Callithrix jacchus: one gene and its partners. Each later gene encodes a partner of the first gene's protein in a complex. Links are inferred from orthologs where the notes say so. Each region holds a gene or a part of one and is shown in the gene's direction. Other genes may lie near its edges.

The links.
Region 2: SNRPF (region 1) and RBMX2 share a complex: the UniProt entries of both Homo sapiens proteins name them as parts of the minor spliceosome. The link is inferred for Callithrix jacchus from reciprocal best matches to the Homo sapiens genes SNRPF and RBMX2.
Region 3: SNRPF (region 1) and CWC22 share a complex: the UniProt entries of both Homo sapiens proteins name them as parts of the minor spliceosome. The link is inferred for Callithrix jacchus from reciprocal best matches to the Homo sapiens genes SNRPF and CWC22.
Region 4: SNRPF (region 1) and SART1 share a complex: the UniProt entries of both Homo sapiens proteins name them as parts of the U4/U6-U5 tri-snRNP complex. The link is inferred for Callithrix jacchus from reciprocal best matches to the Homo sapiens genes SNRPF and SART1.
Region 5: SNRPF (region 1) and BUD13 share a complex: the UniProt entries of both Homo sapiens proteins name them as parts of the minor spliceosome. The link is inferred for Callithrix jacchus from reciprocal best matches to the Homo sapiens genes SNRPF and BUD13.
Region 6: SNRPF (region 1) and GEMIN5 share a complex: the UniProt entries of both Homo sapiens proteins name them as parts of the SMN-Sm complex. The link is inferred for Callithrix jacchus from reciprocal best matches to the Homo sapiens genes SNRPF and GEMIN5.
Region 7: SNRPF (region 1) and GEMIN4 share a complex: the UniProt entries of both Homo sapiens proteins name them as parts of the SMN-Sm complex. The link is inferred for Callithrix jacchus from reciprocal best matches to the Homo sapiens genes SNRPF and GEMIN4.

Annotation. Positions count from the first base shown.
Region 1 is NC_133510.1:98,939,053-98,943,280, forward strand, and holds the start of SNRPF (small nuclear ribonucleoprotein F), read left to right. Parts: upstream 1-1,364; 5' UTR 1,365-1,493; coding exon 1,494-1,496; intron 1,497-3,429; coding exon 3,430-3,555; intron 3,556-4,228. UniProt on the Homo sapiens protein: Plays a role in pre-mRNA splicing as a core component of the spliceosomal U1, U2, U4 and U5 small nuclear ribonucleoproteins (snRNPs), the building blocks of the spliceosome.
Region 2 is NC_133524.1:126,051,316-126,054,947, forward strand, and holds part of RBMX2 (RNA-binding motif protein, X-linked 2), read left to right. Parts: intron 1-2,372; coding exon 2,373-2,502; intron 2,503-3,632. UniProt on the Homo sapiens protein: Involved in pre-mRNA splicing as component of the activated spliceosome. As a component of the minor spliceosome, involved in the splicing of U12-type introns in pre-mRNAs.
Region 3 is NC_133507.1:49,008,370-49,012,659, forward strand, and holds the start of CWC22 (pre-mRNA-splicing factor CWC22 homolog), read left to right. Parts: upstream 1-1,481; 5' UTR 1,482-1,692; exon of another isoform or gene 1,693-2,499; intron 2,500-4,290. UniProt on the Homo sapiens protein: Required for pre-mRNA splicing as component of the spliceosome. As a component of the minor spliceosome, involved in the splicing of U12-type introns in pre-mRNAs. Promotes exon-junction complex (EJC) assembly.
Region 4 is NC_133511.1:123,052,681-123,056,312, forward strand, and holds part of SART1 (U4/U6.U5 tri-snRNP-associated protein 1), read left to right. Parts: intron 1-1,842; coding exon 1,843-2,016; intron 2,017-2,110; coding exon 2,111-2,221; intron 2,222-2,484; coding exon 2,485-2,572; intron 2,573-3,052; coding exon 3,053-3,143; intron 3,144-3,632. UniProt on the Homo sapiens protein: Plays a role in mRNA splicing as a component of the U4/U6-U5 tri-snRNP, one of the building blocks of the spliceosome. May also bind to DNA.
Region 5 is NC_133511.1:16,412,380-16,416,774, reverse strand, and holds the start of BUD13 (BUD13 homolog), read left to right. Parts: upstream 1-1,546; 5' UTR 1,547-1,569; coding exon 1,570-1,712; intron 1,713-3,968; coding exon 3,969-4,062; intron 4,063-4,293; exon of another isoform or gene 4,294-4,388; intron 4,389-4,395. UniProt on the Homo sapiens protein: Involved in pre-mRNA splicing as component of the activated spliceosome. As a component of the minor spliceosome, involved in the splicing of U12-type introns in pre-mRNAs.
Region 6 is NC_133503.1:54,099,141-54,102,772, reverse strand, and holds part of GEMIN5 (gem-associated protein 5), read left to right. Parts: coding exon 1-313; intron 314-3,632. UniProt on the Homo sapiens protein: The SMN complex catalyzes the assembly of small nuclear ribonucleoproteins (snRNPs), the building blocks of the spliceosome, and thereby plays an important role in the splicing of cellular pre-mRNAs.
Region 7 is NC_133506.1:63,629,915-63,634,338, forward strand, and holds the start of GEMIN4 (gem-associated protein 4), read left to right. Parts: upstream 1-1,613; coding exon 1,614-2,076; exon of another isoform or gene 2,077-3,539; coding exon of another isoform or gene 3,540-3,672; exon of another isoform or gene 3,673-4,424. Other genes in the region: diazepam-binding inhibitor-like 5, read right to left, coding at 690-953; uncharacterized protein LOC118153659, read right to left, coding at 1,030-1,148, 1,408-1,615. UniProt on the Homo sapiens protein: The SMN complex catalyzes the assembly of small nuclear ribonucleoproteins (snRNPs), the building blocks of the spliceosome, and thereby plays an important role in the splicing of cellular pre-mRNAs.

The DNA of each region.
Region 1 (4,228 bases):
CCACTGCTCCACAATGCCTCAATACCAAACATTTCACACTCAATTCCAAATCCATCTCTTCAGGGCTGCAAAAAAGCCTCACTTCCCAAAGGGCGAGTTCTCCAAACACTGCATTTAGCATTTCGGATCCGGGTGAGTTGAACTCACTAGGATTACGAGAAAAACTAGTGAAATTCAGATACGACCATTAACATCGAAAGTTTTAATCCGTGAAATACTGCTTACGCCCTTAAGTAATTTCAAATGCACATAAGATGGCCATGCGGGTCTCTGCTGGAGATGCAAAAGAAAGGTGAGCAAACTTAATCAATTATGGCTTTCAGATTTTAGTTAATGGAGGAAATAGCAAGTTTCCACTTGTCATAATTACAGGCATCACTATCATTCTATCATTATTCTAGCACTAATGAAAGACCTCAAGAACATATAAAGCAGCAGTAAAGGGTGCTAAGAAATGACAGTGTGGTCACGTCAACTTGCCCCATGTTACATCCAGGGTGTCAGGGTTCAAACCAGGTCTGTCTGGCTCTAGAACAATTGTTCTCTGCTACCTCCAAATCCTGTGTATATGTTTTCACTAAACTATTTTGTTGTTTATAGATCTGAATTGGAAGCTGTTGAGTACCCTGAACTTAGCAACTAACTGATATAAAGGTATCCCTTATAGAAATCTCAAACTAATTCTTCATTCCTTTCAGGAAGAAGAGTCTTAAGAATATGCATTATAAAACATGTTTCAATAAAGTTATTGAAAAAGAAAAAGAAAGGTGGGAAGTTGGCGGGGGGGCATAACACTGTATACTAGACGCAACCTGACATCGTTTGAAAGAAATTCTGTCCCCTACTCCCTTCGGTGAGATTCGCCGTCCCTAATCTAGTCTGGCTACCCCACACTCCCGATTCCTTTAAAAGGGGTTGAAATGGATGTTGCATTAAAGAAAACCCTCCTGCAGAAAGGACCTGAGGCAGAGACTCCCCTGAATTCTGGAACATGTTGGAAGAGTGAGAAAGGAACTCTGGGACTCCGAACTTATTCTCACGGGTGTAAAAGGACAGAGTAAATCCCCATTAGCCAAGCTGGGGAGAAGTCACATCCGCACATTCTAAAGGGCACACAGCCTCTCCCGGACCGTCCCTAGAAGAGGGGCAGCACATTTAGAAACACTGGCGGGCCTCTAGTCCTTGGCTGCCTCGCGGCGACCCTCAGAGCGGGTTTCCCAAGGCTCAAGCTCCTCTGGCAAGGCGCAAATCGACACCACTGCTGGTTGCTAGGAGATACTGCCCCGCCACCTCCTCCAATCAGCACGCATCTCTTTGCGTCCAATCACAAAGGCCAGAAGGGCCGTGGTGGGAGGTGAAAGGTCATACTCTTGTTTGGCGGCCATTTCTCTTGAAGCTCGGCGGTTCGGGACTTCGGGATCGGCTGGAGTCACGAGGGACGAGCGGCGGCCTGGTTGGCAGCGAATAGCCTGCAGCATTCGCCCGTGGTTACGATGGTAAGGAGAAAGAGAACCGGGGGAGAAGCGGGGAGAAAGAGGAGGGAAACCAGTCTCGCGGGGCCTGATGGTTGCTTCGCGCGTTTCTCATTCATCCGCGTGAGGCGCCGCGCACCCGGTCGCCAGCTCCTTTCACGCTGCCCTTGGGGTTTCTGAGGCGCGTGCTCCTCCCGTTGCCTTTCTGTTTCTAGGAGTGCCCGTGCTGTCTCCTCTTTGTTTGAATCCGAGCCTGGGGTATTTTTGGTTGGGGCTTCAGGGTCGGCGTAAAACTGAAAGAGAGTGCACTTCTCACTTCTCTCCAAAATTCACTTTAATTCCTTGAAAGTAATATTACAGCCATGCTCTAGATTAACTCAGTCGGGTGGGGAAGACAGACCTTAGTCAAAAACCAACAAATATGCAATTGCAAATAACAAGTGCTAAGAAGCATGTAGACCGGAGGCTGTGAGGGTGCACGTTAGACATTACAGGCTTAGTCAGAGATGGCCTCCCTAGGAGGTGGAATTTAACCAGAGACCTAAGTGTCCTGAAATACCACCCTTTAAAGAGCAGGAGGAGTGTACCGAGCACAGGGAATAGGAGCGTAAGACCTGCAGCCGGAAAGAAAGCTTGGTCAGTTGGAGAAATTGACAGAAAGGTACAGCCACTTGCAAGAATGGTGGCTTCTAATTCAATTAGAAGCCATTGAATCATTTTAAGCAGACATATGACATAATTTTATGTGCACTTTGAAAAATAACAGTTGCCGTGGTGGATAATAAATTGGAGAATGTAAACTGGAGATCCATTAGGTTATTGGAGTAGCACCATGCCAAGATCACTCCCAATATGCTTATCTTAGTTTAGTAGCCAAGTTTCTTAGTTCTGTTTTTTCTTTGACTGGTGAGTGAGCAGATTAGGGCCCAAAAAAGTCTGAATTCACTGGAGATGCTAATGGTTTGTTGAATAAACAAACATTAAGTGATTGCTGTAAAGTCAGATAGGACCTAGCCCTACCTTCCACAGTTAAAGACTGTCAAGTGTGATCTGCCCTCTGCTTCCTTCTGCAGTCTTATATTAGGGGCTTTGACTGACAATGCTGAATTCTTTGTATATCCCCAAAATCATGTTGTTCTCTTCCCTCCTTTTACTTAAGTTGCTACCCTTGCCTGGAGCAGCATCTGCCCCCCCCCCGGAAATAAACTCTTATCCTTTAAAACTGAGATATTACTTAAGGCAACCTTTCCTTTTCTGTGGATTGCTGTGGTACCCTTGTGCCTAGCATATCTCCTCTTACTACATTGCAGTATGCAATATAATTATTTGTATGTGAGGAGCTCCCCTCCCTATCTCCAGCTTCTTGACAGGGACTGTTACTTGTTTATTTATTTTTAAGAGACAAAGTGTTGCTCTTGCCCAGGCTGGAGTGCAGTGGCTTGATCATAGCTCACTGCAGCCTTGAACTCCTGGGTTCAAGCAGTTCCCCCACCTTATCCTCCCTAGTAGCTGGGACTACAAGTGTGTACCATCACACCTAATTATTTTTGGTAGGAATTGGGGGGGGTCTCCCTATGTTGCCTGGGTTGGTCTTGAACTCCTGGCTTCAGGTGATTTCCGTGCCTTGGCCTTCCAGAGTGCTGGAATTACAGACACGTGCCTGGCCAGCATTTTTTTTTTTTTAGTGGCTTTATCTTTGCTTCTTTCAAGCTCAGAACAGTGAGTGATGTAGGTAGTCAGTGTTATCTTAAGTGAATAGTGAGTATTTTGTTTTGATGGGTTAAAGGTGAAACTGGCTAACTGGATATTTAAATTTCCCTGGTACTCATCTTCAACAAATAAAAGTGAAAATTATGTTTTCTTCATTTGCACACCAGAAAATATTGGTGATTTGGTAGAAGGGATTTGGTGGTGGGAGGAAAAGAATTAATTGGATCCTTTTTTGTTCTTTGTGCAGAGTTTACCCCTTAATCCCAAACCTTTCCTCAATGGACTAACAGGAAAGCCAGTGATGGTGAAACTTAAGTGGGGGATGGAGTACAAGGGCTACCTGGTATCTGTAGATGGCTACATGAACATGCAGGTAAGCTGTAAAGGTTATAACATGGCATTGATTTTGCTTCACCTTATTCCTCAAAGGTTTAGTCTGACTAATAAGAATACATACAATTAAGTTGACAAATATATGGCAAAATTCAAAAATAAAGTCAAGGCCAGAGAGGATACCGTGATGTACTAGGTACAAGACATGGGCTTAAACCGGAATTCAGCCACAGATTTTATTCCTAGGAGTTAAAGTAAGAAGAGCTCAGACGTTCAATTCATAATAATACCATAAGGGAAACACGCTACTTTGCTGGAGAAAACAAAACTTTTACCATCATTTAGCCCTGAAAGAAAGTTTTCAAGTGAAATTTTTGAGTCTTTTAATGAATGCTAAAGGTACAACACCAAGCTATTAAAGAAATTCATTCCTTCAAGGGAAAGACAGATCTGCCAAAGGAATTGAACTGACTGTATGTCAGTTTCTGTAAATGATTTAGCCATGTGTTTTGGTAGGGTTTTTTGTAATTTTCTTTTTATTGTGGTCAAACATACATTAAAATTTTACCATTCTAACCATTTTTAAATGTGTAATTCAGTGGCATTAAGTATCTTCACACTGTTCTGCAACCATCACCACTATCCATTTCCAGAACTTTTTTTATCATCCCAAAGTGAAATTCTTTGCCCATTAAACAATAATTTTCCATTCC
Region 2 (3,632 bases), on another chromosome or scaffold:
ACACTAGTAATTTCAGTCTGTCTGATATCTGATAAGAGTTACTCCCCCTCATTGTTCTCATTAAGAGTTTTCCCAGCTATTTTTACATGTTCTTTTTTCCATAAGAATTTTAGAATTAACTTATTCAGCTTTCAGGAAAGAAACCAAACTGGTATTGTTATTGGAATTATATTAAATTTACATTAACTCGGGAGAAGATTTTGATACCTTATGATAGTGAGTCATCCTGTCCAAGAACAAGGGATACCTTCATATTTGTTCAAATCTATGTTTGTGACTTTTGGGAATTTTAAAATAGTTTTCTTTATATGGGCTTTGTACATTTTTTGTTGATAAGTATATTTCTAAGTACTTTGTCTTTTTTTGCTATGATAAATACGATTTCCCTTTTATCATTTCTTCTGATTATTGTTTCTGTATAACAGAGTGATTGATTTTTAACTTTATATCTTGTTGCTTTACTGAATTGTTACGCTCTGTTTTTAATCATTGTTTATCATGGATTCTCTGGGTTTTCCATGTATACTATCATATGTAATCTACAAAAGGATAATTTTACTTCCTTTTTTTCATTTCTTATATCTGTTTTACCTAATTGCATTGGCCTATACCTTCATTTTAGTATTAAATAGTTTCTAAACTTACTTGAATCAGCTCTAGTATTTCTCATTAAGTAGATTGCTAGATTTTGGGCTGAAGTGTATGTATGTGATTATGTAACATACCTGTCAATTCCCGTTTTATTTTTATGACTTTATTTTTAAATTTATAAACCTCTAACTTATCTGGAATTTATCTTGCTGCAAGGAGTAAGGTAGTCTTTTATTCCTAATGTTTTTTCTTTTTTGAGACAGAGTCCCACTCTCTCGCTCAGGTCACAGTGTAGTGGCATGATCCTAGCTCACTGCAGCCTTGAACTCCTGGGCTCAAGTGATTCTCCCCATTCACCCTCCTGAGTGGCTGGGACTACAAGTGAACACTACCATGCCTGGCTAATTAAAAAACTTATTATTTTGTAGAAACAGGGGTCTTGCTGTATTGTCCAGCTTGTCTCAAACTCCTGGCATCAAGTGATCCTCTGGCCTTGGCCTCCCTAAGTGCTGGTATTACATGTGTGAGCCACTATGCCTGATCTTTTTTTGTTTGCTTGTTTTTTTTGGAAATAGGATCTTGTTCTGTTGCCCAGTCTGTCTTGAACTACTGGCCTCAAACAATACTCCTGCCTCCCAAAGTGCTGGTATTACATATTATAGGTGTGAGCCACCATGCCTGGCCTTTTTTTTTTCTATTTAATTCTGCCTTTTTATCTATTTGGTTTTTTTTTTTTTTTAGAGACAGGGTCTTGTTCTGTTGCTCAGGCTGGTCTCAAATTGCTGGCCTCAAACAATCCTCCCATCTTGGTCTCCCAAAGTTCTGGGATTACAGGCATGAGCCACCATGCCTAGCCAAATTTCTGCCTTTATCTTTATTAGCTCCCATCTGCTTTCATTAGGGTTGCTTTCTTCCTTTATATTCATCCTTTTTGTTCACAATAAAATTATTTTAAAGTTACAAATTTTCCTATGATGTTAGGTACATTTCATAAGTTTTGGTATATATTCTTCTCATTTTTGCTATTTTCTAAATAGTCTGCCATTTTAAAAAAAATATTTTGCTTCATCTTCTCTTTCATCCAGTTATTAAGAGAGTAGCTTTCAAGTTCTAGTTAGGTAAGGTGTTTTTTATTTAAAATATCATTTCCAGCTTTAGGTCTGTCTGTTTTTTGGAGTATAATTATTGAGGTTTACATTGAGACCTAATCCATAGTCTATTTTAGTACAATCTTCATGAATTCTTGAAACTGTCATCTTGTAGGATTCAAAGATATCTATGTATCTAATTACATTAATATTTGTTTGTATAATTGTTATAGTAATTATGTATATTAATTAATCTGATCTTATTTCTGTCCACTTTGTGCATGATAAACTTCAAAGTGATTTGTTAAATTCTTCCATAACTTTTGCTATTAGTTTTTCTTTGCATTTCTGATAGCTTTTTTAATTAAAAATTTTGATTTCTTAATTGACCTAAAGTTTTCCTGACTTATACCTTTGTTTTGTATTTAGGCCTTTTTCAGTGTAAAATAATCTTCTTAGTTTCATTTTTTATTGTGGCCTTGAATTAGCCTTTGCTCTTGATATTAGTGCCTGTTTTTTAATTGGGTACTCCTGTTCTTGTCTGACTTTTTCTTTGTCATGACCTTTCTGTATCATCTCGTTCTAGATGTATCTCTTGTACATACTGTATTATTTGAATTTTGTTTTATTACCTTATCTGCATGTTTTTGCCTTTTAAGTCAATAGTGTCTTACTCTTTTATAAAATAAATAGATATGGGGAGATTGTTAACATTAATCTCGTGCGGGACAAGAAGACTGGGAAGTCCAAAGGATTTTGTTTTCTCTGCTATGAAGACCAGAGGAGCACAATTCTGGCCGTTGACAATTTTAATGGGATCAAGGTGAGTGTACTTACTAAGCAGGTTGGTTGGACATTTTTTCCCCTTGTATAGGGGTTTCGTTTTCTACCTGGTTGCCATGGACACCGGGGCAGCACTCGTCAGCTTGGTGTGTTGCAGGGGCTGCAGAGGTGTGGAGACACTGGTCAAAAAGAGATTCCAGGAAATAATTCTGTTGACTTGTGGCCCTGCAGGACTTGCTTCTTTTTCCCATCTGTTAACAAATTGTCTCCCCAGGAGCATAGGTACCAGGCCTGCCTCCCCTCCAGGCCTCTGTTTTTTACCTTTCTTTTTCTTTTTTTTTTTTTTTTTTGAGACGAAGTTTCTCTCTTGTTACCCAGGCTGGAGTGCAATGGCGCGATCTCGGCTCACCACAACCTCCGCCTCCTGGGTTCAGGCAATTCTCCTGCCTCAGCCTCTGGAGTAGCTGAGATTACAGGCACGCACCACCATGCCCAGCTAATTTTTTGTGTTTTTAGTAGAGACAGGGCTTCACCAATTTGGGCAGGCTGGTCTTGAACTCCTGACCTCAAGTGATCCACCCTCCTCGGCCTCCCAAAGTGCCACTGAACCTGATCAGAGGGGTTAATTTTTTATTGTTGTTCACCTGTAGAGTTGTGATTCATAGCGCAATAATCAGTGTGAGCCTACTGTTCCAGTGTGGTGTGGCTAGAGCAAGGTGTGAGGGCTTAAGAAAAAAGAAAGTTTCCTTTTCTCTATTCCTTCCTCTCGCCAAACTGTTGGTCTGGCTTTGCCTCCTAATGACTGTGTCGGGAAAGCAGTTGTAGCATTAAGCTAGATATCAAGAATTCCTTCTAGTTGCCAGACCTTCCTAGGGCATGTTTCACTGTAAACTTATGTTACAGATCAAGGGTAGTTAATTGTGCATCTAAATCTCACAGTCTTCCCTGATGCTTGTGCTTTGAGGTAGTAGTGTTTCCTAGTCTTTTTCATTTTGTGGACCATGTAGAACAGGAAGATATTTATATGATGCCCTGGGGTAAAGTGATGAGGCTGCTGGTACAATTGCCCAGGCCTCACCTGGCTGCCCTGAGAGCTGAGTGTATTAATATTTAGGTGTACATGCTATGACACACCAGTTGGACAGGTCTGCTTTAGTGACAAAATTTGGC
Region 3 (4,290 bases), on another chromosome or scaffold:
ACTTACATGGTCACAAGGTCCCACAATAGGCTGTCTGCAAGCTTGTGAAGCTAGGAGAGCCAGTCTGAATCTCACAACTGAAGTCCAATGTTTGAGGGTAGGAAGCATCCAGCATGGGAGAAAGATGTATACTGGGAGGCTAGGCCAGTCTCGCCTAGTCTCACCTTTTCATGTTTTACTGCCTGCTTTATATTTGTTGGCAGCTGATTAGATTGTGCCCACTAGATTAAGGCTGGGTCTGTCTTTCCCAGTCCACTGACTCAAATGTTAATCTTCTCTGGCAACACACTCACAGACACACCCAGGATCAATATTTTACATCCTTCAATCCAATCAAGTTGAAATTCAGAATTAACCATCACAGGTAGTATTGTGGATTTTTAAATATATGAATACAAATGTTCATCTCCAGATCCGTCTCCTGTGCTCTGTATTGGTACACCAAAATGCGCCATGAACAATGGCCAAATATCTTAAATATGAAATAAAACAGTTAACACTATTGTATACCAGCAATTATCTTAAATGCATTATGTGAATCAACTAATTCAATTCTAAAAACTACTTAATGGGTGGGTAATATTAGTATTTCCATTTAACAAATCAGGTAATGGGCACAGAATGTGAAGTTATTTGCCCCAGTGATCCATAAATAATCAAAGAACTCATGACTCAAACATATGTGGTCCAACTGCAGTGTTTTTATTCTTAATCATCACACTCTGCCTCCAGAAAGGAGCGGAAGCACAGCACTCTAAAATTGTAATAGAGAAGTGTGTGGAAAAACCAGGCCTGGTTTATGAAAGGTTTGAAAATATAAAGATATTCTTGTTTGAGGAAGAGAGTTTCCAAAAGAGCAAGTAGTTGAAGTTTTAGGTTTTGTTACTAGCGAAAAGTGAAGTTTAAAGAAACAGTTTGTTCAATGCCCAAGTTCTGCACTCTGTACAAACTGCTTCCCACTCAGCCAGGCAGTCTCCTTACTCTCAGCTCATACCAGTTGGTACCTTAACCTAAAAGAGAGGCAACGTCTTCTCTACAGAATTAGTTTTTCCTCATTATTTACTCTATGTATGATGTAATATTCTCCCATTCTCTTGGTCTGGACGTCTTGGAATTTATTAGGCACTTAATATTTGGTAACATTTTTGCTTATTAGGCTCTTGGTCAAACTCTATTATAAAGTCTCAGGAAAATCTCTTAATATTTTCACGGAAAAGTGACAACTGACTGCTTTAAAAAAAATGTCCCCTAAATGCAGAGAAATAGTTTTAGATTAAAGTAAATTCGGCTAGACTCTAAACACTATTAGGCTGCCAGTGAGCACCTTGGATGTTACTCGTAGGCGCCCAACTGTATGAACTACAATTCCCATCTTACACCGCGCCATTCCATGCTAAACTACAATTCCGCTTTCGTCATTTCCGTCAACTTAGGCGCTGGATTTCGGACTTTGTAGGTCATGTCAACTTCTCTTTTTTGTCGCCATTTTGATAAGAAGACAGTGTGCCTGGGTCGACCACTTTGACTCTGGTATTATGATATGCTATTTGAAATAAATTAAAAGGATAACGTGTCAAGCCGATTGAGCCTCAAGTTTTTATGTATTTCACTATCCGCATTCTTCCTACTGTCGGTGGTCGGGAAAAGGAAGTGACGTACGTCCGGTGTAATGGCGGCGCGGTGGAGCTCTAGGTAATTATCTGAAGTCGGTGGAGTCCCCGCAGGCAGCGAACCGGAGAGGGGGTGGCGGGTCGCTGGATCGGGTGGGAAGTGAAAGAGGCCCAGGAGTGGGTGCGGGCTCACTGGTACAGCTGTGAGCATCATTGGAGTGCGCGTGGCTCTCTTTCCGCCGGGCACTGGCCCGCGAGGGGGGTGTGAGAGCGGCTGGGGCCGAGGAGTCCGAGCCGGTGGTGAGGGAATGGGCTGTGTTAACTCACTCACTGCCTGCGCAGACCGGCCGACCTTCCTTGTGAGGTTCTTGGAGCTATCTGAAGTCCTGCACCAATCCTGGTGCTGTTGTTTCGTGTACAGTGTGTTTTGTACTTAGAGCCTCTGGAGTCAGTTGGGCTTGGGAAAGCCCCTTTACTAGTGCCCAGATCCCCGCGCCAAGGGAGTGGGATTAATGAGCTGTAGTTGATTAAAAGTTGAAGTGCTTGCACTCTTATGTCTTTTCCGGCCTTAAATCCTTTTGACTATTTGTGTGAAATTTCATTAGTGGTTTCTTCTTCATTTATTTGTCCTGTAAATACTGATAAGTTCTAGCGTTTAGTCTCGAAGACGCTTCATTTCTCCTGTGTTCTCTTCATCTATCTGTCATACTTTATCCAGCTCTAGTGAGGTAGTAACTGCCAAACTTGGCTTTCCAGGCTCCACCTCTCTAACGAGCCTTGGGTCCTACAGTGCAGCATTATGTAATGGAAATATAATAGTTAATTTCACTGAGTTTAACTGCAGAAACCGCGGTACCTGTTTCTACTTAATCTTCACAATTCTTTTGAGGTAAGTGGAGAAGGCAGGATTTGGAGAAAGGCTATTTTAGATGCAAGAATTCGCTAAGCGTTTTTTTTGCATTTTTAAGTGTGCAGAGACTCCAAATAGATAAACAAGCAAACTTTGTCCTCAGCAGATCAGTTAACCTAACTCTTACCTGTATTTAGGATTGCTTGGAAATTCAAGTTAACATAAATTATCCTACTATGGAAGGGCAGATTGAAAATTTGCATTCAAAGTGTGGTTTTGACCAGGATAAGCATTGTAACAGGCAGTATCAGTAGGAGGAGGAAACTCACTTGTGTTGGGCCTGATAGACCAAATATTTCAATTTTATTCAGCAATTATTAGGTCTGTCACATGAAGCAAGTTATCTAAGGTCTTTAGTGTCAGCTTCATCATCTGAAAACAATCCAATGAGGCAGGTATTGTGTTATTACCTCATCTGCCTCATTGGATTGTCTTTTTTGGAGTTTAAAGAAAACTAATGCTGATGAGGCACTCAGCACAGTGCCGGATACACTGTGTTCGCTTTATATTATTGTAAATTACTACGATGATATAGTTGATGAGTTCTCTCTGTGCCTCTATTCTTGTTCTCTGGTTCTGAATGTTGCCTTTCCACCTTAAATGTCCTTCCAGTTTTAAGTGTCCATGTCACTTTTATGGAGTCTTTCCCAACTCAGTTGACTGCGGCTCTGAGACTGTCTTGGTTATAAGTTAAAGGCCAAGAACTTTGATCTAATATCCTGGTCTCGTGCTTCCAAAAATGTGTTCTGAATCAGCAGCATCATCTCCTTGAAGCTTGTTAGCAATGCAAATTACTGGGCTTCACCCCAGTTCTGTTGAATCAGAAACGTGGAAATGGAGGCCCAACGATTTTATTTTTGTTTGTTTGTTTTTCCAAAGCATTTCAGTGATTCTCATGCCAGTTAGTTTGAGAACTTGTGATTTAGCCCATCCTTTAGGGACATACTATGGTTAGTCCTTCCCCTGCCCTCAGAATCAGGTTTGATGCCCTCCTTGCTCCAAAGTATTTGATCCGTGGCCAGCTAGTATTTATTATTATGCTTTGGATAGGTTATCTTCACTCACTTTTTGAAGTTCTGACACTTCCTAGACTACTTAATTGTTTTTTGTAAGCCAGCTTTCTTAGCTCTGTTAGCTTTCCCAGCTGCTGAATTTTTAGAAGTTAACACTCCTGGTGGGGCGCGATGACTCACACCTGTATTCCCAGCACTTTGGGAGGCTGAGGAGGGTGGATCACTTGAGGTCAGAAGTTAGAGACCAGCCTGGTCAACATGGTGAAACCCCATCTCCACTAAAAATACAAAAAGTATTAGCTTGTAGCCCCAGTTACTAGGCAGGCTGAGGCACAAGAATCACTCGAACCCTGGAGGCAGAGGTTGCAGTGAGCTGACATCACTCCACTGCCCTGTAGCTTAGAGGACAAAATGAGACTTTGTCTCAAGAAAAAAAAAAGAAGTTAGCTTTCCTTCCCAGTGCTCGTACATTGTTGAGCGACCTACAGTGGCTTGTACCTGAGACCACCCAAAAGACAACACAGTGACACATTTTATATTTCATATGCCCATGCCTTAACTTGAATAATATTTTCAATTTATTGTCCACCTGTATTTAGATGGAATTTTGTACTACCTGTCATATCCCTGACTTGGTCATCATTTGTTCATGGTACCTGGAGCTAGTTCAAGAAAGTAGTGGCTATTGGTAATACATCTGATCCCACTGATAACTTTGAAGGCTTCCTTGTTGAATTTCCCTGCTTTTCTGTTTATC
Region 4 (3,632 bases), on another chromosome or scaffold:
GCTGGCGCGTGCCTGTAATCCCAGCTACTCAGGAGGCTGAGGCAGGAGAATTGCCTGAACCCAGGAGGCAGAGGTTGCAGTGAGCCGAGATCGCGCCATTGCACTCTAGCCTGGGTAACAAGAGCGAAACTCCGTCTCAAAAAAAAAGAAAAAAAGCATATCAGCTGGGTGTGGTGGCTCAGGTCTGTAATCCCAGCACTTTGGCAGGCTGAGGCGGGCGGATCACTTGAAGTCAGGGGTTCGAGACCAGCCTGGGCAACATGGTGAATTCCTGTCTCTACTAAAAACACAAAAACTAGCTGGGCGTTGTGGCGTGCACCTGTAGTCCCAGCTACTCAGGAGGCTGAGGCAGGAGAATCCCTTCAACCCAGGAGGCAGAGGTTGCAGTGAGCCAAGATCACACCATTGTGTTCCAGCATGGGTGACAGTGAGACTATCTCAAAAAATAAATAAATATCTGGGTCAACAGAACAAAATCTCATGTAGAAAAAAAAAGAGAACATAAATAAATAAATTAATAGCATCTGCTGAGTTAGATATACCCCCTTTTCTGTTTACGATGAAGTTCATTAAAAAATAAGTGTTCCAGGATGTCCTGGAATATATATGTATTTTTGAGACAGGGTCTTGCTCTGTTGCCCGGCTGGAGTGCAGTGGCAAGATCACGGCCTACCACAGCCTGACCTCCAGGCTTAAGGGATCCTCCCACTCCAGCCTCCCAAGTAGCTGAGACTGCAGGCATACACCACCATGCCTGGTTGATGTTTATAGTTTTTGTAGAGATGGGGTTTCACCTTACTGTCTAGGCTGGTCTTGAACTTCTGGGCTCAAGTGATCCTCCAGCCTTGGCTTCCTAAAGTGCTAGGATTATAGATGTGAGCCACTGCAGCTGGCCCCTGGAAGAATTTTTTTTTTTGAGACAGGGTTTCACTCTGTTGCCCACACTTTGAGTGCAGTGCTATGATCTTGGCTCACTGCAGTCTCGATCTCCCAGACTCAAGCAGTCCTCCCACCTCAGCCTCCCAAGTAGCTGGGACTATAAGCTAATTTTTATATTTTTTTGTAGAGATGGGATTTGGGCATGTTGCCCAGGCTGGTCTCAAACTCCCGAACTCAGACAATCCACTCGCCTCAGGAGATTTTTTTAAAATGAAAGAGGGTGCAGAAGTGGACATGGCAATCGAGGCTTCACTGAGGAGTTTGCTGTCAGGGCTTCGGGGTTGAGGGAGGAGTTTTTTAAAGAGGAGAGCTAGTGGGCAAGTGTGTGTGTGGCCGGGCATCTACAAAAGGAGGGAAAGCAGAGGGTGCTGGTGCCCATGTGGGGGTCCTGGATTTAGTGCTGGTAGCACGAGTGGGTTCTCTTAGCATGTCATGGCACCTGCTTTCTTGGTGAAGTGGGAAGCAAGAAGCTGGGCTGTGGGAAGTCAAAAGAGTGGGCCACCTCACCGCCCTGTGGGTTCTAGAAGTGCTGCCTACAGAGTCTTGAAACTGGAGTTTGTTGTGGGAGGGGCTGGTGGCAGGAGGGACCCTGGAGGAAGGTGCTTGAGGCTGAGGTAGTGTGCCAGGGGCTTTGGAGCAGGGTTGGCACAGGCCTGGTCAGGAAGGCCCTGTAGGGTGTTGGGTGTTCATTCAAAGGGCAGCCAAACCCATTGATGGGAGCAGAAGAGTGACCCCAGTGAAATAGGTGTAGAGTGGAGTCAGGAGGCAGAGATCAGCCAGGACCCACATGGGCTGTGGGTGTGGCCTGTCTTGCTGCTGCCAGGGAGGACCCTTGGGTTCCTGGGTCTCAATGGCATCACCCCAGAAACTGCTGGGTTTGCCCACAGCTACTCCCTCCCCCAGGTGGTGGAGATTGTGAAGAAGCTGGAGTCTCGCCAGCGGGGCTGGGAGGAGGATGAGGATCCTGAGCGAAAGGGGGCCATTGTGTTCAACGCCACATCTGAGTTCTGCCGCACCTTGGGGGAGATCCCCACCTACGGGCTGGCCGGCAACCGCGAGGAGCAGGAGGAGCTCATGGTGCGTCTGGGGCAGCCCCACCCTGGGCTTCGCTTGGCTGGGTAGGCTGGCTGGGGGCTGGGGGCTGGGCTGACCCTGGTCTTTTGTGCCCCAGGACTTTGAACAGGACGAAGAGCGCTCGGCCAACGGCGGCTCTGAATCTGATGGGGAGGAGAACATTGGCTGGAGTACGGTGAACCTGGACGAGGAGAAGCAGCAGCAGGATGTGAGGGCCGCACTGTCACCACGGGGTGGGGGGCGGGGGCATGGGGGCGGGAGGGTCGAGCTGGAGATGAGTGCCCAGGCACGTTACTCGGTGTCCTCAGCCTCCTCATCACAGTGCGCTCTGCATTCCTCCCAGCGTGATCTGAGTATACCTGAGGAAATGAAGTTAAACGCTGTGGCTGGTGCCCGGCAGGGGGTGACTGATGGGTGGGGGTGAGAAGAGGCGGTGTGGCTTGCTAACCAACCCTGCCACGTGCCCCCCAGTTCTCTGCTTCCTCCACCACCATCCTGGACGAGGAGCCGATCGTGAATAGGGGGCTGGCAGCTGCCCTGCTCCTGTGTCAGAACAAAGGTAGGGAACTCAGGGCAGCTGTGGCTTGGGTGGACTTGGGCACTTGGGCAGGAAAAGGGCTTGTGGGGGCTTCGGTGCAGCAGGTGCAGGCAGGGTTGCCTCCGTCCCCTCTGTTGCCTCTTTCATTCCCTATGCTGGAGCCAGCTGCCCGGCCCAGAGCCGCTCCTTCTCCCCCTGGCATCTGTCTCTGCCTTACGAGGCTCCATATCTGCTCCAGGAAGGAGAGGGGAGTTGAAACTGTTACAGCTGTAGCAGAGAAGCCCTGATGTTAGGACCCCAGCTCTGCCATTTCCTTGGCCAGTGGCCCGTGGCAAGGGGCTCATTTCTGCATCTTTGCTTTAGAATTGGCCTGATGGCTTTCCAGAGGCAAGGAGAGGGAGGTGCACCCCACAGGGCCCATTTCACTTTCTCAGGAGGCCCTGGAGCGGCGCCTCTCACAGGGTTGGGCAGCCTGGAGTCTCACAACCCCTCCATCCCTAGGGCTACTGGAGACCACAGTGCAGAAGGTGGCCCGAGTGAAGGCCCCCAACAAGTCTCTGCCCTCAGCCGTGTACTGCATCGAGGATAAGATGTGAGTGTGCAGGGCTGGGGTCCTCACATCGAGGATAAGATGTGAGTGTGCAGGGCTGGGGTCCTCACATCGAGGATAAGATGTGAGTGTGCAGGGCTGGGGTCCTCACATCGAGGGTAAGATGTGAGTGTGCAGGGCTGGGGTCCTCACATCGAGGGTAAGATGTGAGTGTGCAGGGCTGGGGTCCTCACATCGAGGGTAAGATGTGAGTGTGCAGGGCTGGGGTCCTCACATCGAGGGTAAGATGTGAGTGTGCAGGGCTGGGGTCCTCACATCGAGGGTAAGATGTGAGTGTGCAGGGCTGGGGTCCTCACATCGAGGATAAGATGTGAGTGTGCAGGGCTGGGGTCCTCACATCGAGGATAAGATGTGAGTGTGCAGGGCTGGGGTCCTCACATCGAGGGTAAGATGTGAGTGTGCAGGGCTGGGGTCCTCACATCGAGGGTAAGATGTGAGTGTGCAGGGCTGGGGTCCTCACATCGAGGGTAA
Region 5 (4,395 bases), on another chromosome or scaffold:
TGTGCATAGTATCCACAAATTCTGTCAGAAGGCTGTGATTTCAGTAACACTAAAACTTCTCTCTCAAATGGTACAAATATCCAGTTTAAAGGCAAGTTCCTGGGATCTAATGTACAACATGCTGACTGTACTAATCATTCCTATTGTTTATTTGAAATTTGCTAAGGCAGATTTGCTTAAGTGCCCCCCCCAAGTAGTACATAAGTAAGTCTAGTAAAGGATGTTTTAATTAATTCGATTTTGGTAATCATTACACAATGTGTACGTATACCCAATCATCACACCGTACACTTTGAATACATAGAATTTTTATTTGACAAATAACCTCATAAGGCTGGGGAAAAACGATAAAAAAGTGACAAAAATCTAACATGATGAGGTAAAAAGATGTTATATTTCAAGAAATTTGGATGGCCTCTTGCACCCCACTTTGCTAGCCTCTACTCCCGAGTCATGTTCTGGCCATGTGAAGTTGAACAGCTTCCTTAATCCTGCCAACTTTCAGTCCCTATTTGTAAAATATGGCAATGAAACAATTTGAGAATTGTGAGGATTAAATAAGTTAATTTAATTTGCTCTTAACCTCCTGCAAAGAAGAAAGTCTTTTCTTTCCTCCCAAAACTGGAGTGTTAGAATTCATTCTCTCTGGTTTCTTTCTTTTGCTATGCTGAAAATATATTCAGGTCCTTTTCACTGGCAATATTTTATCAATGCTATGTATTTTCTAATGTTGTATTACAAGTTCCCCTCCCCGTTATCTCTTGAAGTAAATATATTTTTCAAGAGATAACTGGGGGGGTCGGTTGTATTACAAGTTAACAAGTTTACAGAGGTCTTAGAAACCACGTTTTTCATAGTAATTGTGTTGGTTTGCACTTCCTGGCTTCCTTTCTCGAACAGCAGGTATCTGGAAGCCTAGTGGAGCAGATTCTTCCCACTTGAAGATACGTATAAAAATAGCGAGACCTGCCTGGGCGACATATCGAGACCCCGTTCTCCACAAAAAAAGGGGAAAAAAATAACGAACATAGTTCCGATGACCATGTGCCCAAACGCTCTGCGCACTGCACACAGTAGTGTCATCTCAGCCTGTGACCATTCCGAGTTAGGTGCCGGGATTCTCCCCGTTTTGCGATAACTCGCCCGAGGTCGCACAGCTAGCTGGCTATGTATGGAACCAGTATTCAAGTTCCGCTACGCTGCAGCCCGTGGCTCTCCACTTTCTTGCCCTTGCTGTGGAGCTTAGGCAGACGCTGGGGGCGGGGTCTTGTTGGGTCAGGTTGTGGCCTCCTGGCCAGAACAGCGCCTGTGGCGGTTGGATGGATGGATGGGTGGGTGGGTGGATGAAGAGAAGATGCCTGGTGGCGTCGTCCCAGGGCGCCCGAAGCTGTGCACATCTCCGGCTAGTCTGCGAGCGCGCCCCCGGCGGCTGCACCTGCCAGCCGCGTCATTCTCAGCACGCTCCGCCACTTCCGGCCTTGGCCCCACTTCCTCAGGTGGCTGGCGCGCGCTACGCGTTGAGGCATTTTGTCCCCAGCGCCGAGCCGTCTCTCCGCCCCCGCCGCTGCCATGGCGGCAGCTCCGCCGCTTTCCAAGGCCGAGTATCTGAAGCGTTATTTGTCCGGGGCAGATGCCGGCGTCGACCGGGGGCCTGAGTCCGGCCGCAAGCGCCGCAAAAAGCGGCCGAAGCCTGGTGGGGCCGGCGGCAAGGGGTGAGTTGGTACCGGCCGGGGCGGGGCCTGCGACGACTCGCCCCCCTCTCACCCTTCCCAACTCCACCCTCGGCCGCCGGGCCTTGCCTTCCCTCCTGGCGGGTCTCTTGGCTGCTGCGCCGGCCCCTGCTCAGACCCAGGGCCCCACTCGCACCGCGTGAGGCCCCCGCCTTGCCTCTGCCGCCCCGCTTACACCTCGAGCCTCTGATCATTAGCGTCAGTGCATTAAAGCCGGGCTGTAACTTTGATGACTCTTTTCCCGCCTTGGTAGACTTTCGTCCTCTCTCCCGTAGGGAATGAGTATTGTGCCCCGAGAATAATGGAGCGGATTCAAAGCCTGTGCTTGGATCTTTAGGGCCCGGCACCTGCCTGTGGGGGTTCCCAAATCCCAAGGACTTGGTTCTGAATCAGAGACCTTCGATCACCTCCTGTTACTCTTAGTAATAGTCCTGCTAACAAGAGCAGCTGACATTTGTGTCGTTCTTCTCATTATGCTTTCCTTGCCAGGCAACATTATAAGAAATTTAAACATATATGAGTTTATTTAAGCCTCACGACAGTACCATGAAGTGGGTATTACTTTCAAATGGGAAAACATTGTGGCCCTCTGTAGTGGGACCTACCAAATCGTTTCCACCCAGAACCACAGAATGTGACATTTAAAATTAGGGCCTTTGGAGATGTCATCAATAAGATGAGGCCATACTTGATTAAGGTGGGTGCCCAATCCAAGATGACTGTTTTCCTTTTAAGAAGAGGGAAGTGTGGACACAGACACAGCAACAAAGAAAAAAACGAGCATGTCTAGATGAAAGCTGAGATTGAATTGGATTTATGCTGCCAAAAGCCAAGATATACCTGGGGCTACCAGAAGCTGGAACAGGAGAGATTCTCCCCTAGAGACTTTCCAGGGAGATTGGCCTTGCAGACCCCTGGATTTCAGACTGCTAGCTTCCAGAACTGTGAGAGTTTCTGTTGTTTTATGCCACCCAATTTGTGGTACTTTGTTAAGCAACCCTAAGGCACTAAGATACCCAGCGAAGTCACATTGTTCCAAAGAACTAGCCCATTTTCTTCTGTCTTCTGTCTTTCTGCGTCGCTGGCTCGTGTGGATCCTTTAGGGGCAGTGCCGTGTGATGAAAGTAGCTTGAGCCTTGGAGCAGCACTGATGAGAGTTCAAATCCTAGCGGTGCCACTTTGTAGGCTGTGTGCCCTTGGGCAAGGTGTTTCATCTCACTGAGCTGCAGTTTCCTTATCTTTAAAATGAGAATAATACTGAATAGTAATGCTTATATTAGGTGGTGGTGGTTGTGATTAGCGGGATTGCATTCAGTGACCTTGGCTTTTTGAATGACTTCACGTCATGGCAGTCGTTGCTATTATTTGGGCTTAACTATAGTTTATCCCTGTACCAAACATTTATAGCATACTTCCTCTTCCAGTTACTGTAGGGTGTTGAGGATGCCTCTGAACAAATAAGATATAGGCCCTGTTCTTGTAGGCTTATAGTTAAATGGGAATACAGGCATTAAGTAATAACACAAGTAATTAATATATTTCCTTTAGGATAAACACAATGAAAGTATTCCAAGAGTTTTTAACGAGGGTTCTTAGTCTTGAGTTAGTGTGGGCTGGGGAGGTTAGGGGGAGGAAGGAGTCAAGAAAGGTTTGCCAAAGGAAGTTAAATTTGCGTTAGGAACTGAATTATGAGAAAGAGTTTCCTACCACTTTGGGAGGCCAAGACGGGTAGATTGCTTGCATCTGGGAGTTTGAGACCAGTCTGGGCAACATGGTGAAACCCTGTTTCTACAAAAAATACAAAGAAGTAGTCAGGCATGGTGGCACGTGCCTGTAGTCCCAGGTACTTGGAAGACTGAGTGGGGAGAATAACTTGAGCCCGGGAAGTCAAGGCTGCAGTGAGCTGTGATCATGCCCCTGCGCTCCAGCCTGGGCAACAGTGTGAGACCCTGTCTCAAGAAAGAAAAAGATTGAGAAGAGTAGATCAGGCAGAGGGAAGGAACTGCATATGTGAAAACTGATGTGGTAGGAACTTGGCTCCTTTCTAGGCACCAAAGGATGACCCAGGGAGGTGTTCAACCAAGGAAATAGTGGTACGAGATGAAATTCACCCATGTAGACAAAGACTGGACCATGCAGGATCCTGTAGGATTTTGAACTTTATTTTAAAACCAGTAGACGAGTGGTTTTAGGCTGATATCCTACAATGACTTTGATCATCTTCTTCTTCTCATTTAGAATGCGGATTGTGGATGATGATGTGAGCTGGACAGCTATCTCCACAACTAAACCAGAAAAGGAGGAAGAGGAAGATGATGGAGATTTGCCTGTGGTATGTGTCTTTGGGGCTGTCAGGATTTTGAAATGAAGCAAGGTTCTCTTTTTTTTTTTTTTGAGATGGAGTCTTGCTTTGTTGCCCAGGCTTGAGTGCAATGGAGTGATCTTGGCTCACTGCAATCTCTGCCTCCTGGGTTCAAGCAATTTTCCTGCCTCAGCTTCCCCATTAGCTGGGATTACAGGCACCCGCCATCGTGCCTAATTATTTTTTTTTGTATATTTGTAGGGACGGAGTTTCACCATGTTGTCCAGGCTGGTCTTGAACTCCTGACCTCAAATGATCCACCTGCCTTGGCCTCCCAAAGTGCTGGGATTACAGTCGTGAGTC
Region 6 (3,632 bases), on another chromosome or scaffold:
AGCAGTTAGACACTATCAGCACTGAAGAAACTGACCCTGAAACTTCTCAGCCAGAGCCAAGCAGGCCTTCAGAACTAGACTTGAGACTCACAAAAGAAGGTGAGCGAATACTGAGCACATTTAAGGCGCTCCTTTCAGAAAAGCATGCCAGTCTCCAAAACTCACAGAGAACTGTTGCTGAAGTCCAAGAGACCTTGGCAGAAATGATCCGCCAACACCAGAAGAGTCAACTCTGTAAATCCACAGCAAATGGTCCTGATAAGAGTGAACCGGACCTAGAAGCAGAGCCTCTCTCCAGTTCTCAGAGCCAGTGGTAAGTACTGAGGCAAGTACAAGACAGAATGAAAAATAACCCTGCTGCCTAGGAACAGGGGCTCACGCCTGTAATCCCAGCACTTTGGGAGGCTGAAGCAGGAGGATCACTTGGCCGTGGAGTTCATGGCCAGCCTGGGCAACAAAGCAAGACCCTGTCTCTACAAAAAAAAAAAAAAAAAGGCCAAGTGCAAGTGGATCATGCCTGTAATCGCAGCACTTTGGGAGGCCGAGGTGGGTGTATTACTTGAAGTCAGGAGTTCAAGACCAACCTGGCCAACATGGTGAAACCCTGTCTCTACTAAAAATACAAACATTGGCTGGGTGTGGTGGCACAGGCCTATAATCCCAGCTACTTGGGAGGCTGAGGTCAGAGAATCACTTGAACCTGGGCAGCAGAGGTTGCAGTGAGCCAAGATCATACCAATGCAGCCCAGAGAACAGAGCAAGAAAGCATCTAAAAAAAAAAAAAGCCAGGTGTGGTGGAACATACCCTGTAGTCCCAGCCACTTAGGAGGCTAAGACAGAAGGATCACTTGAGCCCAGGAGGTCAAGTCTACAACAGTGAGCTATGGTTGCATATCTGTACTACATCCTGGGTGACAGAGCAAGTCCCTGTCTCCAAAAAAAATTTAAAAAAGGAAAATAACCCTGTTGGATTCTCATGTATTTAGGTCAGAATTAGTACATGGTGCTACTGATCAAGTCACTTGAAAGCAGCAAAATGTAATAACTAAGACGCAGGCTTTGGGGGTCAGATGTGAATTCTAACCCTTACCCAGTTAAGTGAACTCAGGCAAGTTTCTTAATGTCTCTGAGCTTTAGTTTCCTCATCTACAAATGGGGATACCAGCTCCTACCTTTGGTGGTTTTGAGAATGAAACAAATTATATATATTGTTAGTATTAATAGTACAATAAAATCTTACCATTGTGTGCTAAGTAGATTCCCCCCAAAAAATCAATCATGTAAAATGTGAAGTTGCATTACTGCATCATTATTGAAAAACACTGTTTTTCAGTGGTCCTATACTATAACAAAACACACAAAGGGTAGTATGTAAAACTTCACGTTGAACTGAGAAAAGTCCCAAATAATCGGAATCCTGTCACTTCCTAATCACTTCCATTGGAGGCAGAAGCTGCAGTGAGCCAGGCTCACAGCACTGCACTCCAACCTGGGCGACAGAACAAGACTCTGTCTCAAAAAAAAAAAAAAGAAAAGAAAGTAGAGGCCAGGTGGAAGGATCCAGTCACCAGTCACTATAGAGCTGAATTTGCTTTCTTACCGGGTACTTTGCTGAGGTTTGTAGTGAGTAACAATTTTTGTTTTGTTTTGTGTTGTGTTGTGTTGTTTTGTTTTGTAATGGAGTCTTGCTCTGTCACCCAGGCTGGAGTGCAGTGGCACAATCTCAGCTCACTGCAACCTCTGCTTCCCAGGTTCAAATAACTGCTCTGCCAGGTGGGAGTACAGGCGCTTATTACTTGGCTATTATGCTGAATGCATTTTGATTATATTCCTTAGCACAGGGTGTAGAACATAGTAACTAGTATAATCAATAAACTTATAGCTGTTACTACTAACTTTAAAAAAATTAAACTAAGAAGCTTTGAAGTCCCTCCAAAAGTACTCCCATTGAAATCCATGAGTCAGATTTGAGTCACTTGTATAGTAAGCTACTCTATACCCTAGGCAGCTTTTAGGTGTGCCTTTTTTTTTTTTTTTTTAAGACAGGTCTTACCCTGTCATCCAAGCTGGAGTACAGTGGCATAACCATAGCTCACTGCAGCGTTAAAATTCCTAGGCTCAAGCAATCCTCTCACCTCAACCTCCCAAGTAGCTTGTGCCACCACACCCAGCTAAGTTTATTAAAATTTTTTTCTAGAGATGGGTGTCTTACTATGTTGCCCAAGCTAGTCTTGAACTCTTGGCCTCAAAATGATCCTTCCACCTCAGCCTCCCAAAGTGCTGGGATTACAGGCATGACCCACCATGCCCAGTTGGTTTCTGTATTTAAAGATGAGAGATACAGAGCCAGATGGCAGAGCAAGGCATGGTGGCTCACACCTGTATTCCTAGCTACTTAGGAGGCTGAGGCAGGAGGATCACTTGAGACCAGGAGCTCAAGTTCATCCTAGGCAACATATTGAGACCCTATCTCTAGAAAAATTAATTTTTTAAAATTAGCCGGGTGTGGTGGTATGCATTTGTAGTCCCAGCTACTCAGGAGGCTGAGATGGGAGGATCACTTGAGCCCAGGAGTTCAAGGCTGTAGTGAGATTTGTTCGTGCCACTCACACCAGCCTGTTGACAGTAAGACCCTGTCTCCACACACACACAAAAAATTGCATTTTTAAAAACCCAGGTGACAAGGGAATTTTATTTATAAAATGAGATAAAAGTTACCCAGGCAGGGGCACATGTTCTCAGGACCTCCTGAGGGCTGTGTCACGGGCAAAAGTTTAAATTTAAAAAAATTTTTTAATAAAAGACAAAAGTATAATAAAAGATAACCTAATTAAAGGATGGGCAAAGAACTTGAATAGACATTTCTCTGAAAAGCCAGTAAGCACAGAAAATGATGCTCAACATCTGATCATTAGGGGAATGCAAATCAAAACTACAGTGAAATAGCACTTCATAGCCATTAGGCTATCAAAGAAACAGACAAGTGCTGAGGAGGATGCAGAGAAAGTGGAACCCTGTGCCCTGTTGCTGGGAATGCAAACTGATGCAGCCACTGTGGAAAACCGTCTGGCAACAGTTCCTCAAAAAATTTAAGATAGAATTACCACAGGATCCAGCACTTCCACATCTGGGTATACACCCAAAAGAATTGAAAGCAGGGTCTGAAATACATTGTGAAATATGTGCATGCCAATGTTCATAGCAGCATTACTCATAATACCCAAAATATGGCAGCAACCTAAGTATCCACTGACAGATGAACAGCTAAGCAAAATGTGGCAGATGGAATGTCATTCAGCCTTACAAAGGAAGGACATTATGCTGAGTGAAATACGCCAGTCACAAAAAGACATACACTGTATGATTCCACTTATATGAGGTACTCAAAATCCGGTGGCTCACGCCTGTATTCCCAGCATTTTGGGAGGCCAAGGCAGGCAGATCACAAGGTCAGGAGTTCGAGACCAGCCTGACCAATATGGTGAAACCCCATCTCTACTGAAAATACAAAAATTAGGTGGGCATGGTGGCAGGCACCCATAATCCCAGCTACTCAGGAGGCTGAGGCAGGAGAATCACTTGAACCCAGTAGGCAGAGGTTACAGTGAGCTGAGATTGTGCCACTGTACACT
Region 7 (4,424 bases), on another chromosome or scaffold:
TCCTCTGTGATCATGAACAGGAGTGGGCCCAGATACTGGCATGGGGTGTGTTGTGCTCTTGCAGGAAATCCCACAGACATCCCCTAAGCAGAAACCAGGGTTAAGTACAGAGTAGTCCTGCAACACTTCGGTTGCAAGGCCTTCGGTGACCCTTTCTGGGCCTGGGATTTTGACACCATCGGCTCTGTTGTTTCTCAGCTGCTGTTTTCTGAAGTCTCAGTTGCCTCACCACATTATCATCGGGGAAAGTGTGGTCTACCTAGAACATAAACTTCCTAGGCCCTGTGTTCCAGTGGGGGTTTCGGTGTTTAGGACAGAGTCCCTTTCCCCTCTGTAGTGTTGGGTGTTCATTAATCACTCTTGAAGAGGTAAGGGGCTGGGCCTCAGCCTCCCCAGAGGCCATCAGTGGAGAAGGGTCTCGCTGACCTCAGATCGTGGGCATTTCCACGGCACACCATCCCTCCCAGTACGCTCTAGCAATAGGAAGGCTGGGAACGCCACCCAAAGCCACACCGTTTTTGCGGTCTGTGTATTTGGACGCCTCCCCAGCACCCAGTCAACGAGTTTCTTTTTCCACAGCAGTCAGTCACTCTCGTGCAGTGTCAGTGATTTATTGGTGTTTCAGCTAACCCGGTTACTCTCCATTTCAGCCATCAAGGTCTAGGGAGCCACTCCATTCCGAGGAGCCCTCAGCCAGCCTCCTTCCTGGTCAGCTCCTCCACTTTGGCCACGTAGGCCCTCATGGCGTCCATCCTGGACAGCCCTTGGTTCGCAGTCCACGCCTCCCACTTGGCCTTGGCTTTCAGGTCAGAGGCGGGAGGCGCGGGGAGGTGGCAGTCGCCCCGGGTGGCCTGCTTGTACCAGCCGTAGAGCAGCAGCTTGTCCTGGTCGCTCAGGGGGCCCTTCAGCTGCTTGAGGGCGGTGCGCGCCAGCTCGAACTCCACTTGGCACATGGGGCGGGAGGCGGCCGGGCCTTTCCGGGCGATCCGGGTGCTGGAGGCCGGAGGTGGGGAGGTAAAAAGGCCGGCGTCAGACCTCCAACTCGGGGGCAGGGGACGGGCGGCGCGTGGAAGAACACGCAGAGTCTGTATTTTCTTCTCCGCGACTGCAGGCCCGGGAGCCAGTGTCTGGGTCTGTCCACGATGTTTCTGTGGAGGAGCAGACGTGAGAAGCGCCTCCGGTCCCAAACGCGGCCGTCCCAAGGGGGCGGCGCGGCAGCGGCGCGCACAGAGTGCGAGCGTAGGACGAGCTGGGCGGGAGGAAGCCGCGCGTGGGGAGGCCGCGCTGGGTGGGGGCGGACAGTGTGCGGGACGCGCCCGGGGTCACCGGATGAGGGTGAATGCGGAGCCGGGGCTCAAGCCGGACGCACTGGGACCCGGAGGCAGGCCCGGGAGCAACGCCCGATACCTGACGGACGGGAGGCCTCTGCGAGGAGGCGGTGCTGTGGCTCTGCGCGCTCCTCCGTGAGGACTGCGCTTGCGCGGGGGGCTATGGGCGGGGACTGAGCACGGCCGCCGTGGCGCCTGCGCCGCCCATTGTGCCGTGCGTTCGTCGCCGCGCCCGCGTTCTCTGAGAGGGAGAGCCAACCCCGCGCAACCGCCCGCGTCGCTACCATGGACCTAGGTGGGTGCCGCGCTCCCTGCCCGGGCTGCGTCCCTCCACGCGTCAGCAGGGCGGTGCTCCCTGGCGCGTCTCCTCCCGCTGCGCGCACTGATGGGCCCAGGCGGAACGTCCTCCGCGTCGGGGCGGGTCTGGGGTTCCGGGTGGCTTTGGCTGGGGACCCGGGCCCGGCCTCGGGAGTCGCGCCGCGGAGTGAGGGTGGAACCCTCTGGGCCGGCGCACGTGCTATGGAAGCGCGGCTCCTTCAGCGCCCGGACTGCCGCGCTCCTGAAAGGCGCGTGTCTCCTGTCGTCCGGCTTCGTCTCGGCGGAGCGGGAGGGGGACGGTGCGTCTGCCCCCGAGGGCTGCGCGACTCTCCACGGAGGCCGCGGGCGTCCAGGTCCCGCGCAGAGTTGCCGGGGCGGCTGCGCGCCTCGGAACCGGAGTGGTCGGGGCCAGGCCCGGAACACGGAGCAGGTGGGCGGGCGTCCGGAGAGCTGGGGCCGCGGCGCTTCGGCACCAGCTCTCGGGAGCGGAATGGCGTCCGGGCACCCTGAGAAAAGCGTTTCTGCAGCTTCGTGTTCGGGCCTTGAGCGGGAACGGCGTTGTCAAGGTGGTCGTGATGCGTGAGGTCTCGCATGTGACCCGGCGCGGGGCTGGCGCGGTGAGCGCGGAACCACCCGGTAGCCCTAGCTCTTGGCTCTGGCGCGCGCTGGGCGCCGTTCCTGACCGAGCGCCGGCGGGTTTTCCAGCCGTCACTGCCCTGGCGCTACTGCTGCAAATGCGGCGGACTGCCTGCGTTTGGAAGGCGCGCGTGGATGGCCAGACATTGGCCCAAAGAAGCTGATAACGCAGTAAAATTAAATTTGCAGCGCTAGGGGGGGCCGCATTTTGGGGTTTGGGCGAGCCTCCTGACGGTAACCCTAGCGAGATCCCTCTGCAGCCTCGGCCTCAGCCACTGTGAGCTGAGGTGGATTTTCTCCGCAAATGGGTTACATGGGAGTGCTGAGCGCTGGGCCTGTGGCTGCTCCCACACATGGTGGCAAGGGCAAGACAGTCCTTAGTCTCCTGGAATCCGTGTTATCTCTGCTGATGTCTGGCCTGTAAAATGGAGACTGAGCTCTCAGGGGCATGAGAGACTGAGGAAGAAGCATCTCTTGGTCCTAGAAAAGGGAGAGGACTCAGGAGTGGGGAATAGTGAGCAGTGTCTATCCTGGGAAAGGGAGAAGACTAGGGAGTGAGGAATGGTGAGCATTGTCCCGATCCTGGGAAAAGGAGAGGACTCAGAAGTGAGGAAAAGTGAGCAATGCTTGTACCCTCGTTTTACTTCCTGGGCCAAAGGAAACATACCTGATAAAAACCTATGTCCTTTGATGTTTCTGAGCTGGGGCAGGCAAAGAACAGTGACAGGGTTTTGATCCTGCCAATGATGAGAAGGTTTGGGGAAACCAACATTGACTGAGCCCTGATCAGGCTCTGTAACCTGATTCTTAGTGTAGCTGTATCACATTTATCCATCACAGCGTCTCCAGGAGATGGGGTCAGGAGATAGCAGTACTAACCCACTACCAGGGGCTTGACTGGTATGCATCATATAATCCTCAGAGTCGTAACAAGAAGTCTGTATTATCCCCAAAGCTGCAGAAGGAAGGCTTGGAGAAGCAATCTGACCATGATCACATCCCTTACCCACCCCCCTTTTTTTAGGGGTCTGGGGGGGTCTCACTATGTTACCTTAGCTAGTTTTGAACTCCTGACCTCAGGGATCCACCTGCCTCAGCCCCCCAAGTAGCTGGGATTAGAAGTGCTAGCCACTGCACCCCTGGCCAGAATCACATTACTTTTAAATGGCTGATCTAGGAATCAAACCTATGTTTGATTAAACATCCCAAGATGTAAGTCTGTCAGTTATTCCTTCTCTGCAGGAAGGACTTAATTTAATGAAGTATTTTCTGTATCTACTCCCTGGTTTCTCCCACAGAGCCTGGGCCATGAGTAGCTTGTCTTTGGAAGGAGCTGTGGGGTGGACTGTTTCCCTGAAAGGTAGAACAATGTTTGAAGCCTGCTCCCAAGGCAAGGTTATGAAGGGCGAAGGCAGGGCTTGTCTGATTGCTTCTGTGCCCATTACCTGTGGCCATGTGATTGCTTCAGTGCTCATTACGCTATGGCTGTGTGATGGCTGCTGTGCCGTTACCCTGTGTCTGTGTGATGGCTGCTATGCCCATTACCCTGTGGCTGTGATTGCTGTTGTGCCGTCACTCTGTGGCTGTGCCCATTACCCTGTGAATGTGTGATTGCAGCTGTGCCCATTACCCTGTGGCTGTGTGATTGCTGCTGTGCTGTTACTCTGTGGCTGCATGATTGTGGCTGTCCTCATTACCCTGTGGCTGTGTGATTATCACTCTTCCCCCTTCATCTGTCATGAGAAACTCAGCTGTCATGTCCTGTGGTACATGCTCAATAGCTCTGTCGTTTGTACTGTCCTCGTGCTATTTCTGAACCTCTCTCCCCACATCCTCCTCTGGCCCATCCTTTGCTGAAGGGTTTGCCCTCAGCAGCCCAGCTTGTTCTTTTTACTTTTCCTGAGGGATCTCATTCTCTCTTGGTTCCGGTGATCCCCTTCTGGGCACATGCCTCTCAGAGTCACATTTCCCAGCTGACTTACCCCCTGAACTTCCACCCGGCATTGCAACTGCTGAAGGACATCTCCTCGATAGCCAAAATCCAGAATCACATTTCCCAGCTGGCTTTTCTCTTCAACTTGCATGGGGCATTTCCACTGCTGGAGAACATCTGTGCCTTGATAGCCAAAATCAAGCTTGTCT